Oryzias latipes: one gene and its partners. The protein of the gene in region 1 purifies or fractionates together with the protein of each later gene. This does not show direct contact. Links are inferred from orthologs where the notes say so. Each region holds a gene or a part of one and is shown on either strand. Other genes may lie near its edges. The genes, in order: hdac5, prkd1 and F-box-like/WD repeat-containing protein TBL1X.

Region 1 (4,825 bases):
GGTGTAAAGTTGGTCCTTTTAACATGGGAGTCACTAAGTGCTTCCTTTTGAAACCAGCCTCCGGTGGTCATTTGCGGAGCTGCAGCCTTTGCCACTTCCTGGTTGGCTTTATATTTAAGAATGAAAGTTGTGGATCCGTATTTCTCTTCTGTTTGGGTTGGATCAGTGGACCCAATGCACAAAGCACGTGACTGCAGGTAAATGTCTGTAGCGTGCACGCTCATGGTAAATCTATGCTCAAAGAACACCTGCAAACGTGAGTTATTTTTGAATCAAACTTTATCAGATCTGGTACACAAAGAACCGCGACAAAACATTCCCTCAACCACAAAGTGACGCATCTGCAGGATCTGCCTGGAGCTCCTGTTTGCAGCTGTGAGCAGTCAGACGGCTTTTTTAGATTCTGTGCCGCCTCCTCTCCTTTGACCGGGACGTTTTCCAGAGAGAGGAAGAGGAGGTCAGAGGAAGAGGAGGTGTGTGGATTTTTACTGCATTCAGACGTAGCAGCAGTTTTAAGAGTGGAGTAGGATGATGCTTGTGACACCTGCTGGTGTCCTGGAAAGTAAGGAATCTGAAAATCTGCAGGAAAATGACTGGAAGGGTAATTCTAGCCAAGTAAAATCAGTTTTTAATGAAATGGAGAATTAGAAGGTCTCTCAAAGCTTCATGCAGCTGGAGGTCCTTCAGATCTTCGTCCCACTGACTAGCTGACAGTCTATAATGCGGTTGTCATGGTTACAGTTATAGTACACAAACGCAGCAGTGTAACTCCAGGGGTGGATGCGTCTGGAATAGAAATGCAGAGATGAGTCATCCGCTGCAGTACACACACACACACACACACACACACACACACACACACGCATGCATGCATGCATGCATGCCTACACAAAAACACACACATATACATCAGAGCGGTTGCTTTGTGTCTCCACCTTCAGACTGGGAGGTTGTAGGTTCAAATCCTTGGTTAGATTATTAAAAATCTGGTTTTCGTTTTCGGCCGTGACTGCAGCTCAATGCTTCCCCCCAAGACACACCCGGGTCTGTGACAACTCGACCCGAACGCACACAAATGCATGCATGCACACCTGTTTGACGTGTGGGACACTGTTTTAAAGTCTCACTCTGATCAGCTTTTGATCTGTTTTTCAAAGTGTTTGTTTTTTTTAAATTATGATGATGATGTATTTAGCCAAAATAAAAAAAAAAAAAACAGTTTTTGTTTTGGGTTTTTAGGACATAGTTTGTGCAGAGCCGCAGGAGTTTAACAGAAATTCACCTCTGAGTCGTGGAGCGTCCAGTTCTGATCCAGATTCCAGCTCAGACGAGGAAAAACAAACACGTTCATGGATCTGTTTGTCTGCAGGCGGATGCATCAGAATGGAGCGGAGCAGGGAGCTTATGGTTTCCAACAGCCTTTTCTTATTCTGCTCACAATGATTTGAATAAAGAAAAACTCGAAACCAGAATGTTTCTACATCATCAGGAAAATGCCACAAGAAGACGTTAAAAACATGGGCTTAATGCTGTGTGTGTTTGAGACGATGACATGTTTGACCATCAGGTAAACTGAATTCTGGATGTGGTTCTGACAGTCTGGACTTGAAGTTGTTGGATGTTTGACGGTCGTCTTCTCAGGGAGGTTCAGAAGTGTCGGTTCTCCTTGGTTCTGCGTCAAACCCTCCCCGTGGAACATCTGTCAGCCCTGCTCCTCCAGACCCTGTCTTCCGGGTTTTGATTGGACCAGGTGTGTATGTTAGTGTTTGTTCTGGTGAGTCTCGGCAGACCCATGGCATTCGTGGAGCCCCGCCCACTCCGCTTGGATTGGTAGAGGATCTTGTAGAGATGCGGGGCAGAAAACCCTCCGCCCCCACGTCTCAGTCACACCCCAGCGCTGCAGGGTTTTTGTGTGCTCGCTGTGTCTCTCTCTCTCTCTCTTCCCTGGTCTATTTTTGTCTTTGGCTCCTCCCCCTCACTAACGAGCTATTTTAAAATTCAACCCCCGCATCCCCACAATGCCACAGCAGCCAAGAAGTAAAAGAGTACGTCTTCTGACACTCTGAAATCAGAAGGTTTGTTGTCGGCGTCCCTCCTCCCTCCCTCCCTGTGCTTCATTCAGCTCCCCCCCCCCGTCAGTGAGGGTGGTGCTGAACCGCCCGCAGCTCCTGGTTGCAGTCGGAGCTTCTCTGTCGGAGCGGCGGCTGGAGGATGGAGGGCTGTTGCTGAAGTCCCACTCGTCTCCCTCTCCTGTCATTCTCCCAGCTCTTTGTTCTAATTTTGGAAACATGGAACCTCGGAGAGCGCTCTCCCAAAGCTATTTTCGTCCTTGCTCCTCCTCCTCCTCTCCCCCTTCTCCTCCTCTCCCCCTTGTTTTTCGGGAGAACAGGACTCTCTAGCTCCGTTTCTTGGTCGCGCGGCAGAGAGTCCGTCTTTGCTGCTGCCGGTTGGGAATTTTTTTTGCTTGTTTGTGGAACTGCAACTTTCCTCCTGCGGCTGAAGCGGCTTCCTGAACGCACCGCTGCAGGTCCGCCTCTCAGGAGCCAGATTTGTGCCAGGATCAGGGTGATCCATGCTCTTACCTCAGAGAGGACTTCCTGGAAGCGCGGGATAGGAGGATTTGTCTCAGGTGATGGTGACCGGCGCCAGAGCCTGCGGCTTGGGAGCTGTCACAGCGTTGCAGGCTGCTCAGTCCCAAGTCGGCGTGATGGGGTCTCTGTGAAGGGGTGCTTCCTGAACTGTAGCAGCGGCTCTTGTCCTGGCACGCGGCTGCAGCCGCCCGTGTCAGGACTGTGCGCCATGTTGCAGACCATCTATGAGACGGATTCTTGCTTTTCCTCTGCAGACGGCCGCCAGCAGCCTCTGCAGCTCCTGAGTGGCAAACAGGGCTCCAGCGCAGCCATGCCCATCGCTGGTGAGTCATCTGTGGGGAAGCGAGGAGGGGAGGGGGTGTTAATAAATAATTTAGGCTGTCTGTAAGAGAAGAAACCCTTTTTCTTTGTGTCCATGGAGGACGGGCTGGCGCTGGAGTGCAGGGAAAGTTTCTGGTTGAAGTGAGCGGGACTCATGAGGGAGGCTGCAGCTGCAGATGGAGGTCAGGGCTGCTGGTCGGTGGGGCGGAGAACCAGCTTCAGGTGGTGGAGTCTGCAGGAATGCAGCATGTTTTTGGATGCACCAGCATGTCAGTGTGGGGAGGAGTTTGAAATCAGACAACAGACCGACCGGCTGTTTGTTTGTAAACAACAGTGGGGGGAGGCGGGGTTCGATCTGGATCTGTTTGATCTTCTGGAAAGGAAAGGGAAAGTATGAAATCAGGAAGGGAGGAAGGTCAGATTCAGTCTGATGCTCCATGCCAGGAGTCACCGACCCTCTTCCTCGTCGGCCACCGCCACGTTTGTTTTGCATCTTCAGGCTCACCTGATCAGGTGAGCCTGAAGATGCAAAACAAACGTGGCGGCTGACAGGGCTGGTAAACCCTGATCCACGCCAAAGCTTGGTGCTTCCTCCGCTGTGTTGATGAGGACAGGGTCTTCTTCACTTCACTAGTTTTCTTTTGTGCAGTAGCGTTTGGCGTCACGGTCTCTGTGTGTGTCTTGGGTCTGGAAAGGGACCGGGTTGTTATTCCTTTGTGTTTGGATCTCTGATTGGTTCCTAGAAAACTCAAATGGTGGTTTGCATGTTGGGAACCGCCTGTTGGTATCAACTGGTGGTCTGTGGCTCCTCCCACTGCACCATCAGCACCTCTGCAGGTTTTTTTTATCCTCAACGAGATGAGTTGACATCCTTTCTTTGTGCGTTTTTCCCCCCTTTTGTGCAAATGTTACATTAGATATACCCAGTGAGCCGAATCAGGTTGGAACATTTGCAGTGCATCTCACTGGGTTTCCGTGTTTCTGCTGGTTGTGTGGCTCCTTGAAACATCCATGCTTGTTAACTGGTGGTTTGTCAGTAAAATACATTGGATTAAAGGTTCAAAGTTGTTGTGAAAAACTGGAGCTTTAAAGGGTACAAACAACAGGAAGCATTTAGAGATGCAGGATATTCTGACGAAGACAGCGGGGGTCTCTGGAGCGTCGAAGGCCCCTCAGACTTCTTCTACGGTCACAATCAGTCCAGCGGGGGTCACAAAGGTCGAGTCACAGTTCCGTGACTCGTCTCTGAACTTGTGCAATGACAGAAGAGGTTCATCTTTGTCATTAGCAGTTGTGGATGATCTGGATGAAGTTCCTGCAGAGGCCAACAGGATTCTCAGCTGTGGAAAGTCTCTTCTTCAGGGTGAAGTGCAGCTGCATCAAACGTCCTTCGTGGTGAATCCTGCTCTCATGCCTCTTATGCCTTATTGTTGAGGGTCTTACAGGTGGGGCGGGACTGCTGCTCTGTCAGAGGAGCTGCTGCTCGGAGGGGTCTGGTCGGCACATACATTATTGGTCCATCAGACACTTGATGAAGACTTTAATTCTGAAAAATGAAATAGAAAAATCAAAAGCTGCATTACAGATTCCATTCTTTTGTTAAATTTGATATTTATTTCTTATTAGTTCTTTAAATCCATAGTTAGTTTGGGTAGAAAACAATTTGATCAGATAAAGTAAATCCTTAATTTGCTTTACATCACTAGTTATGAGAAACCTCTTTTTGATTTCTCTACAAAAATGGTTTTAGATGGAAAAATGAAGAAAGGAAATTAATTTTAATAGAATCGGAAGATGAGCTTTTTAAGACCAAACCTAACGAATTTATAATTAACTTTAAAGTCTCTCTCCGCTCATCTTTTCCGTCCCCAGTGGTCTTTTAATTGGGATGATCCTGTTTTTAGGCAAAAGCC
Region 2 (4,725 bases), on another chromosome or scaffold:
TCAATCAATCAATCAATCAATCAATCAATCAATCATGGATTATATTTATCTGCGCTTTTCCAGACGCTCAAAGAGCTTCCAGTGTGCTCATTATTCATTCATTGCTTTGATCATTGTCAAACTGCTCAACCGCCTGAGCCACTGCCGGCATCAATCAATCAATCAATCAATCAATCAATCAATCAATCAATCAATCAATCAATCAATCAACCCTGTCTTTAATGCAGTAGCAGCTTTCTAGCTTGCTTCTCTGCTTCTATCCAGCATTGTTGCTTTTTGTCTCTTGTTAACGACAAATATTCACTACTATTCCTTCTTACTGGCTAAATCTTCATTTGTGACTGAAAGTAAAAACAAGTCATCTGTAAAATTGGGTCACACCTGTGTGGTTGTGTCACCTTTAGCACTCTGGAGAAAGTGTCCTTCTCAATACAAGTTAAAAAATATGAATTTGTTACAAGGGAAACAAAACTGCGAATAGAGCATGTAAAATTTCCAAGATTTCTTTGGATAAGCTGTGATGTTCTGGCCTTTTAGGGCCAAACTAAACCTTGATATCAATGATGAACATTTGGATGTATTGCTCTGTCAATTGAAAATATTATAACTTAAATAAGGATTCCTTAAAATGCTTGAGTCTTTTTAAAATATGAATATTTTTACAATCCCCCCCCCCCCCCAAATTGCAGATATATTCTGTTTTAAGTGCTATAACAATTTAACTAGCCTTATTTTTAAACCACAATTGTTTTAAGATAAAAACATAATTAAAGTTATACATTTGAAGATAAATTGGTTTTAAAAATTATTGGTAAATTATGGGTCAAAAATACTTTTCCAGTTTCCATAAATCAAGACTGACAGTCACCATCAGAAATAAAACTTCTGCTTAAAAATAACGTAAAACTTGTCGTTTTAAATAAAGTATTTTTAAAAATGGAATGACTTAAAATATTGAAGATTTATTGTCCTAAAAGAAGTCGTTACATCTTTTTAAAAAGTTACTAATAAGTAAGTTTAGTCTCAATTCAATACCAACGTGATCTTTAAACTAGAAACCTGACCAAAACACTTGTTGAGATGTTGTGTTTTTGCACATCGACACAGCTTGTGTATTTTTCTGTTTCACTGTCAGATTCTGGTGGCTCTGCGTCATCTCCACTTCAAGAACATCGTTCACTGTGACCTGAAACCTGAAAACGTCCTCCTGGCTTCAGCTGACTCTTTCCCACAGGTGTGAAGTCTTTGTGTGTTTCTGTCAATGCCAAACTGAGTGTGATGTTGTGTTGGGTGGGGATCATTTATCGTCATTTAAGACCATTTGTGTCGGAAGTTGCTCAACTGAAAAATACCAAAACAAATTAAATAAAACTAGAACTCAATACTATTGCCTTGAAAGTAAAAGGCAACATTTTAAGCAGAAGTTTGGCTTAAGATGGAAATGACAGATTAGAAAACATGTACGTAATAACAGGTTCTTCAGTGAGAAATTAATCGGTTAAATACCTGTGTGCCAGGTGAAGGAACAAGCTGAAGATCATGATAGGTAAAGGAGGTAAAAAACTGCATTTCAGTGTAAAACCCCACATTTCAACTCTGGACAAGCCATTGGGTCATGTTTAGCCGATATCTCAGCTATTTATTTATTTTTTCATTTATGAATTTTTATTTCTATCTTGTTAATTCTAGTTTTATGGATGCTTTGCTTTTTTGTAAATATTTATTACTTATCTATTAATATTCTTTTTTTATTTTATGATTTTTTTAAATATTTTGGGTGTGGCTATTTTTTGTGAATACTATTAATTTCTATTTTTAATATTAATTTTTTCTATTTTTTGGCTGCTGATTTTTTTTTGTTAATAATTATTTTATTTCTTTATTGCTCTATATATATTATTTCAAATTTTAAATGCGTTGGCTGCTGTTATAATTTTTTCAAATTTTTATTCAATTTCTTTCTTTATTTTGTTTTTCTATTTTAAAAAGTTTTTTGGGCTATAGTTAATTGCTGTTGCCCAAAATGAACAAACAAAAAGTCTAAATGTATAAGAAAATTGCTTTGGGGTTTTCCAAGTTTAAACATTTTATTTTATTTTATTTTTGAGCCTTTATTTATCCAGGGAAGACAGATTAAGAACAGTATTCTTATTTTTTCACTGTGCCCAGCAAAATGCAAGACTTTTAGAGAAAGGGAGAGAAATGGAGTAACAAGAAATGGACAAAAACATTAGCAACAAGGCAAGAAAGTCTAAAACTGCTTTACAGTTGTAGTGCACTTATTAATTCATCCCAAAAACTAGGAGAGTTGGAGATGGAAGGCATCTGAGGTGTGGTCTCTCTGTGGTTCTGCTGCAGGTGAAGCTTTGTGATTTCGGGTTTGCTCGAATCATCGGTGAGAAGTCGTTCAGACGCTCTGTGGTCGGAACGCCGGCGTATCTGGCTCCAGAGGTCCTGAGGAACAAAGGTTATAACCGTTCTCTGGACATGTGGTCGGTTGGAGTCATCATCTACGTGAGGTTAGAGATTCCACAACTTTGGGCCAGCAAAAGTTTCTCCGTAACTCACTCATGATGATATGTTTCCTGATCATAAGGGTTGTTTTAAAGTGGTTTGTATTTCTGGTTGTTAGTCTGAGTGGGACGTTCCCCTTCAACGAGGATGAAGACATCAATGATCAGATCCAGAATGCTGCTTTTATGTATCCTCCTCATCCCTGGAAGAAAGTCTCACAGGACGGTATGTAATGATGTGTCAAATCGGGTTTGAGAAGTCCTTCTCTACAAGAAATCCTGTGATTTTTGTTCCTTTTTAAGCATTTTTTAGGTTGTTTTTGTTCCCCGGAAATGCCATTGAATTCCCTCCTTGCTTCTTTAGAGCAATTCTCTGCAGCAGAGTGACTCATGTTGATGTCTCTAAATGTGTCTGCAAGGTGTGTTGACTAAAATCATCCCGTTGACTAATAATAAGCCTGACTCACTCAGTCAGTCCTCAGCCTCGTCCCCAAAGCGCTTTTCCATCCACCTCCTCATTTGCTTGAAGTGAGTTGAGCTGCTGTTTAAAAAATAAATGCGAGGACTCGCTTTGCCACGGGGAAGCTAAATGCCAGAGAATAAACCCTCAGCGTGTGGAGAGATCTCCATTTGCAAATATCCGGCTTTTAAAGGAGCGTCCTCTGCCCACAAGCCAACATGATTCCAATTTGTCAGTGGAGATAAAAAGCAGAGCTTGAAGTTTTGAAAAAAGGACTTTTATGTAATGTCATGTTGAAGAACTTTTTTTTTTATCTGAAGAAAATATATTTCAACTGAGCAAATATGCTCAACTTTGTTGGATTTATGTGTACTCTGCATAAAAAGAGATTATAAATGTGAGAATTAGGACAGAACGTTTACAAAAACCACAACCAGTCACAAAAACCTGAAAAAACATCTTCATCACTCATAAACTGGCAGATCTGTACCTCTTTGTGATCCACTGCTGAAGGCAGTCCATGCTAGCTTTGAGAGGTTGAACAACATTCTTTGCAAGAAGAAGAAGCTCCAGGTTCGGATCAAAGTACCATGAGGATAGCCAGATGTTTGATCCTCTGATATGTTCCAACTTTGCCATTGGGTCAAATCAGAGAAGGCTGGAAAGCAAGGAACCTGACTGGTGGTACAGAGATTTGTCCTGTATTCAGGTCAAATACTTTTGAAGTCAAATGAACACAACAAAGGATGGAGAAGCATCAGTCAGTAGTTTACTCCTCAATCTGGAAGAGATCGTTTGCATTCAGAGGGACCCTTGAGGAATTGGCGCCCAGATGAGTTATGGTACCTACTTTATTTAAGCTGTATGGGCAGTGCCGGTTTTTGGGTTGTCTAGGTCCATGGACGTTAGTAGAGAGGAGCATCTGCGTCTTGAAGGAAGCGCAGGTGTGTCTTCAGTTTCCTTGAGGCTCGTACGGCCACCTCAAAGAACGTCATGAAAATGGAACGTACCACAGTCAAGTGTATGTATCGACAAGTATTTGTTAGGATAGGGGATTGATGTACAGGTGGTGCTGTCGTGTTCTTATGCTACATTCTAGCTGTCAGTAACACATAGGGTGTGCACATGATATGCAAGTGATCGTAGGATGCCTGTAGGATGTCCACATAAACTACAATCTGATTGTCTAATGTCTAACGCTGGCGTGTCACCTACTTCACCCTTATTTAGCCTTACATGTTGTGTTAGTGTTTGCAACGACCTGTCGCCTTCTCTCTATGGGCTCACTGATCCGTTTAAGAATTTGATATTTCATAAGGGACACCTGCGTAACCCGAACAGGTTTGCTCCAGCACCGTATCCATCGGTAAGGACAGTTGTGACTAGGGGTTTACATACACGACGACGAAGCAAGGTGATGGAGGCGAATGATTCGCTGTGGCGCCCCTTCAAGGGAGCACCCAAATGCAAATGAGATGAAGGCAATAGCTGTAAGAAATTAACAGGTTTCATATAATTTTCATAGTTTGTTTTTTTTATTTTTCATGCAGCAATTGATCTGATCAACAACCTTCTGCAAGTGAAGATGAGGAAGAGGTACAGCGTCGACAAGACCCTCAGTCACCCCTGGTTACAGGTCAGACTTTCATCTTGGAGCTTTGATTGTTTTTATTAAGTTTGTTGACATGCAAATCTCCAACAAGGCTTCAACTCTACTGTCCTATAAGTATTTACGCCCCGTCCTCTTTAGTA
Region 3 (4,825 bases), on another chromosome or scaffold:
TTGTCCCATCTTGTATTCTTGTATTAAACCTTTTGTGTCAAAATAAAAGCCTTGTAAATTTGCTGTTGAGTGCAAAAATAATAATCCAGAAATCAAAAGGCAGCAGCTCTCTGATATAAAAATAGAGTCATTTATTTGAGACACTGAATGACTTCAAAGTTTTGCCTGGAAACAGGTGACAGCGGGGGCGGGTGTCACTGCCACAGCACCCGTCCCATAACCGGGCTTCTCCGCTCGCTGGGAAAGTCCCACCGACCCGCAGCCCAATTATCAGTCTGACACAGACAATAAAGGCCTTCAGCAAATGAAAAATACAAAATGTGAGAAATCGATGAACACCAATTAGAACGCCATCATTTGAGATGGAGAGGAGGGGCGGGGCGGGGGGAAAAAAGGCAAAGTTTAAACATTGGACCTTCACTTTCATTGAAAATTTGCAGCATCCACTAATACAAAAAGTGCACTTCATGTTGCTCTGGCAGAAGATGAGGGACCTAGAAAAAGGCAAATGAAGTGGAGGTGGTTTATAGTGTCTGCAGAGCTGCACCCGCAGGCCTGAGCTGCGAAGCCGAGTCTGCGCAGACGCTTTCCTCTGGAGCTTCAGTGGAGGCCGTTCTTTTGTTTACAATCATGAATCCTGAGCTGCGTTTCTCTAACTACATGTTGGGGCTGCTGCAGCTGCAGAATGTGGACGCCGTTGAAGTGAAGATTTGAAGACGAAGTTTTCCTCATCATCCTGATGCTCAGAGGACAGGAAGACGGCTTAGACTGGCGGTGATGGAACATCAGGCTTGAACCTGAGGTCTTCTGGCTTCGCAGTTCAGGCCTTCCGATCAGCTAAAACCCATAAAGTCAACTTTTATCTTTTTTTTTTTTTTTTGCATAAACGCCACTTTCTGGCTGCGATGGAATCTAACAGCTCAGCAGCCTGACGAGGAAAAAGTGCCAAACAGGAAACACAGTGATGCAGATTAAGCTGCAAGAACTCTCTGGGGGTTGGGGGTTTGATCGCTCCGCGGTGTTCCGTCTGCACACAAACTTTAAAGCCATTAAAAGTTTTAAAAAAACATCATCTCCTGCACCGTTTACGCCATGGATGCAGGTGTTGTGTGGGCCGACTGCATGATACCATTTCTAACTGATTCTACAGAAAACGTAACAGCTGATAGGATGGCAGAGTTCAGAAAGACTGCACTGACAGAAACTGAGACATGCACTTTGATAAAAAAAAGATGCGACAGCTTCAGCCGTAAAGACCCCCTATAGATGGCAATAAAGTGTACTGTATATAAACATATATATACACAGTATATAAGTCTGTGTATTAATCTAATTTACATTTTTTTCTTTACATTCTTGAAATTTACATCCAAAAAAAAGGGAGTTAGACTCTTTAAGCCACACTGTTCACACCTTTTCCACGTCTTTTTTTTTTTCCATCTCAGGTCACATGATGAAGCTAAGAACCACCAGGCAGCGGCGACATTCAAGAACATCCCAAAACACCGGCAGCAGCCATTCTGATGACGGACTCCTCCACGCAGGAGTCGTCGAGCACCTCGTCAGGGGACAGCAGCGCCGCCTGGGAGCCGGGCGTCAGCCACGCCCACCCCGTTGGTGGTTAATTCACGTCGACGTTTAAGTAACGCCTCCTCGGAGGAATCGTAAACCCCGCAGCCTTCCTTCCGCACAGTCCCGACACCTGGCTCTTGTTACCACTCCTTCCTTCAGAAAACCCGCCTCATCTTTGCGTTTCCACCCTCGCAGCTCCACAACAGCTGGACCCGCAGCGAGCGCCGCACGTCGTCATCAGGAACCTGTTAATACTCGGACGCACCCGGGGAGCCAAGGCCACTTTTTGGGGATTTCTGAGCCAGTTTCCATCTTGCCTCAGACTTATTAGAAAACAAGCGTTAACAAGCTGCATTGAACTCAGCTGCTGTTCAAGCCGCTGGCAGCATCTGGGTCTACACCTGTGAGGGTTTCATTGGAGTCCACCTTTACGGCCCTTCCAGACAAAGGAGGGGGTGTTTGTTGACGTCAGGAGAAGGCAATTTTCTGCACATTCGAGGATCCGTTTAAGTCTCAGGTCAGCTATTTTCGCAGGTCAAGAACACAAACCTGAAATTGAAAAAGATAATGGTTGCAATAACTGTATATTTTAGGCCACTGAGGCAACAAATACCCACTTAAGAGACTATAATCAGGGTCAACAGGAATGGCTTACCGAGCCGTCTGAAGCACTGGCACCCACTTTATCTCCAGTGCTGTTCCAGCACACCTCGAAGATGCCCCCGGTCCCCCTGTAGCTGTGCACCAGAGCTCCCGTCTGCAGAGGCGCAAACAAACTCCCTGAACAACCTGAAGAAGTGTCCGCTAAACGAATGAAACCACAGGGGGCCCCTTACCATGGTGTTCCAGATATGAACACACTTGTCGAAGGAGCCGCTGGCCAGGTGCTTGCCGTCGGGGCTGAACGCCACGCTGTAAACGGGCTCGCGGTGTTTGGTCAGCGTGTGGATGCACACGCCGCGCTCCACGTCCCACAGCCGCACCGTGGAGTCAAAGGACGCGCTGTGTGGGGGGAGGTGTCAATGAGATCACAGCGTCTTCCTCCTATTTCAGCCTCACTCAATAAGTTCAACCATATATTTATTGGGCTGCACGGTGGCACAGTGGGTTAGCACTCTTGCCTCACCCCCCGTGAATGCGTGGGTTCTCTCCGGGGTCTTCCTCCCACCATCCAAAAACATGCTTCATAGGTTAATTGGTTACTGTAAATTGCGAGTGTGCATGCGCGTGTGATTTGTGTGACCCTGCGACAGACTGGCAACCTGTCCAGGGTGTCCCCTGCCTTCGCCCAAAAGTGGCTGGGATAGGCTCCAGCAGCCCCGTGACCCCAAAAGGGATAAAACAGCAGAAGATGAATGAATGAATGATATATTTAACTTCTGTGTTGAAGCTCTTTCAGTACAGGGCAGGGCAGTTCACTCTGTGACCACTAGGGGGCTTGATCTGCACATTTACAATCAACTTTTGTTCCAGTGAGAAACAAAAGCAAACAATGTTTAAGAACAGGTTTGAAAATTGTTTTCCACCCTTTGTGAAAAATCTTGTATCCATGACAACAGCACAATGGTTGATTATTTATTAACCCATTTTAGCTTTAATTGAACGATGGGTTTTGACAGACATTCTCAGCTTTCCAAACACCTTACTTTGCCTTTTTCCAGGCTTGTTTTCACCTTTTTTTCCATTTTCAACAAAAGTCTCAAGTTGGAGTACAAAGATGGCAGCAACCAAAAGGGCTGAATTTCACCACCAGTAAACCCAAACCAACCAAAAAGTCACATGACCACACCTTCTGTTCATCGTTTATAACCATAAGCTTTATCAGTAACCCTCTCTCACATTTGGAGGGGTAAAAAACTATTAGTCAGTCACCGATTCTGCCAAAAATAACCCTATTTAAAGATGAGAGGTCTGTAATATTTCATCAAAAAAAAGAATCCAGGAACTCTCTTTGTAATTTTGAAGACTTTAAAGTTCTTCTTCAGAACAGTTTCTTCACCACTAAGAAATAAAATGGGTTCAAAATCTCAGCGGAACAACAAATCAAAGCTAAAAGGAAAAAGCTCTACTTTGGAAAAGCCCTCACTGAAGGAATTCTAGAAGCGTTTCAACACATTGTTGATTTCTGCTCGAGCAAAGACACTTTTCCCTCCGCATGAAATGCAGTCAGGCATGCTGGGTTGTTGGGATGGGCGGTAAAACCTTATGGCATTTGCATTGGATCGCTGACATGTGTGAGCACATCTGGGTCAAGATGCGGGCCAAGCAGTAAATCTGGGGTTTCAGTCCAAACACATTAACATGCGCCTCAGCACAGTCTGCTCCGACAGCAGAACCCAGACTACCAAAAGCTGAGTAACTCTGCATTACAGGTCAGGTTTCCTACCTGGCGAGCATGATGTTGGAGTTGGGATTATTTGTGCTGGGCCCTGTGGGACTCCACTTAATAGTGTAGATTTCTTTACTGTGAGCCTGGAGGTCGTGGACGCAGGAATCCTGTTTCATGCTCCAAATCTGCGTGCGACATTATGAAAATAAGCCGCCGTATTCAACTTTCAGCGCCTCACATCCGTGTGGACCCCTCTCACCTTTAAGGTCATGTCGTCTGAGCAGGAGGCCAGCAGCATACCCGATGGATCCCACTTGATGGCGTTGACTTCATTCTGAAAAACGCGGCGGCACTGGTTAGGTGAGGGGCTGCGGCAGCCTGGACTGAAACGAGGTCAGGGTGTGTGTGTGTGTGTGTGTGTGTGGGGGGGGGGGGGGGGGGGGGGGGGGGCGGAGGACGCGCTCACCGTGTGGCCCTGGAAGGTCTTGAGGGGCCGGTCGCTGCCCAGGCGGCACACGTGGATGCACATGTCTGTGCTGCAGGAGGCAAAGGTGGTGTTGTTCTGCCAGTCCACATCCAGCGCCGGAGCTGCGGAAGCATTCACACGCCGTCAGGACTCACGACAACACCCAACTAAACAAAGGCTTTTATTCTGGTAAATGATGCTAACAGGAAATAGACTGAAAGCAGAGCAGAGGCTAAAACTTTACTCCTTTAGATGAGTTTTTCCAGCTTGGTTTTTAAGGTTTTAATAAGGAGCCACTGTTTCAGACTCAGGCCGACTCATTCAAGAAATATTAAGTCTCATATTCTTAGAAAACTCTCATATTAGCTTTTGAGAAACCTTCTATTTCTAAATTACACCAGGAACCAAAGCAGAGAAAGTAAGCGTAAAGGGGAAAGCCTTACATTTAATTCTAATGA

Evidence for each region.
Region 2: the proteins of hdac5 (region 1) and prkd1 purify together in Homo sapiens (affinity purification with western blotting; 4 studies listed by BioGRID, with this or other methods). This does not show direct contact. The link is inferred for Oryzias latipes from reciprocal best matches to the Homo sapiens genes HDAC5 and PRKD1.
Region 3: the proteins of hdac5 (region 1) and F-box-like/WD repeat-containing protein TBL1X purify together in Homo sapiens (affinity purification with mass spectrometry; 3 studies listed by BioGRID and IntAct, with this or other methods). This does not show direct contact. The link is inferred for Oryzias latipes from reciprocal best matches to the Homo sapiens genes HDAC5 and TBL1X.

The regions. Positions count from the first base shown.
Region 1 is NC_019866.2:23,880,856-23,885,680, forward strand, and holds the start of hdac5 (histone deacetylase 5), read left to right. Parts: upstream 1-1,653; 5' UTR 1,654-2,799; coding exon 2,800-2,914; intron 2,915-4,825. UniProt on the Homo sapiens protein: Responsible for the deacetylation of lysine residues on the N-terminal part of the core histones (H2A, H2B, H3 and H4).
Region 2 is NC_019880.2:2,744,508-2,749,232, forward strand, and holds part of prkd1 (serine/threonine-protein kinase D1), read left to right. Parts: intron 1-1,135; coding exon 1,136-1,234; intron 1,235-2,358; coding exon 2,359-2,519; intron 2,520-2,632; coding exon 2,633-2,739; intron 2,740-4,523; coding exon 4,524-4,609; intron 4,610-4,725.
Region 3 is NC_019879.2:24,117,340-24,122,164, forward strand, and holds the end of F-box-like/WD repeat-containing protein TBL1X, read right to left. Parts: intron 4,490-4,825; coding exon 4,368-4,489; intron 4,236-4,367; coding exon 4,161-4,235; intron 4,087-4,160; coding exon 3,959-4,086; intron 2,575-3,958; coding exon 2,409-2,574; intron 2,330-2,408; coding exon 2,228-2,329; intron 2,122-2,227; coding exon 2,095-2,121; 3' UTR 115-2,094; downstream 1-114. UniProt on the Homo sapiens protein: F-box-like protein involved in the recruitment of the ubiquitin/19S proteasome complex to nuclear receptor-regulated transcription units. Plays an essential role in transcription activation mediated by nuclear receptors.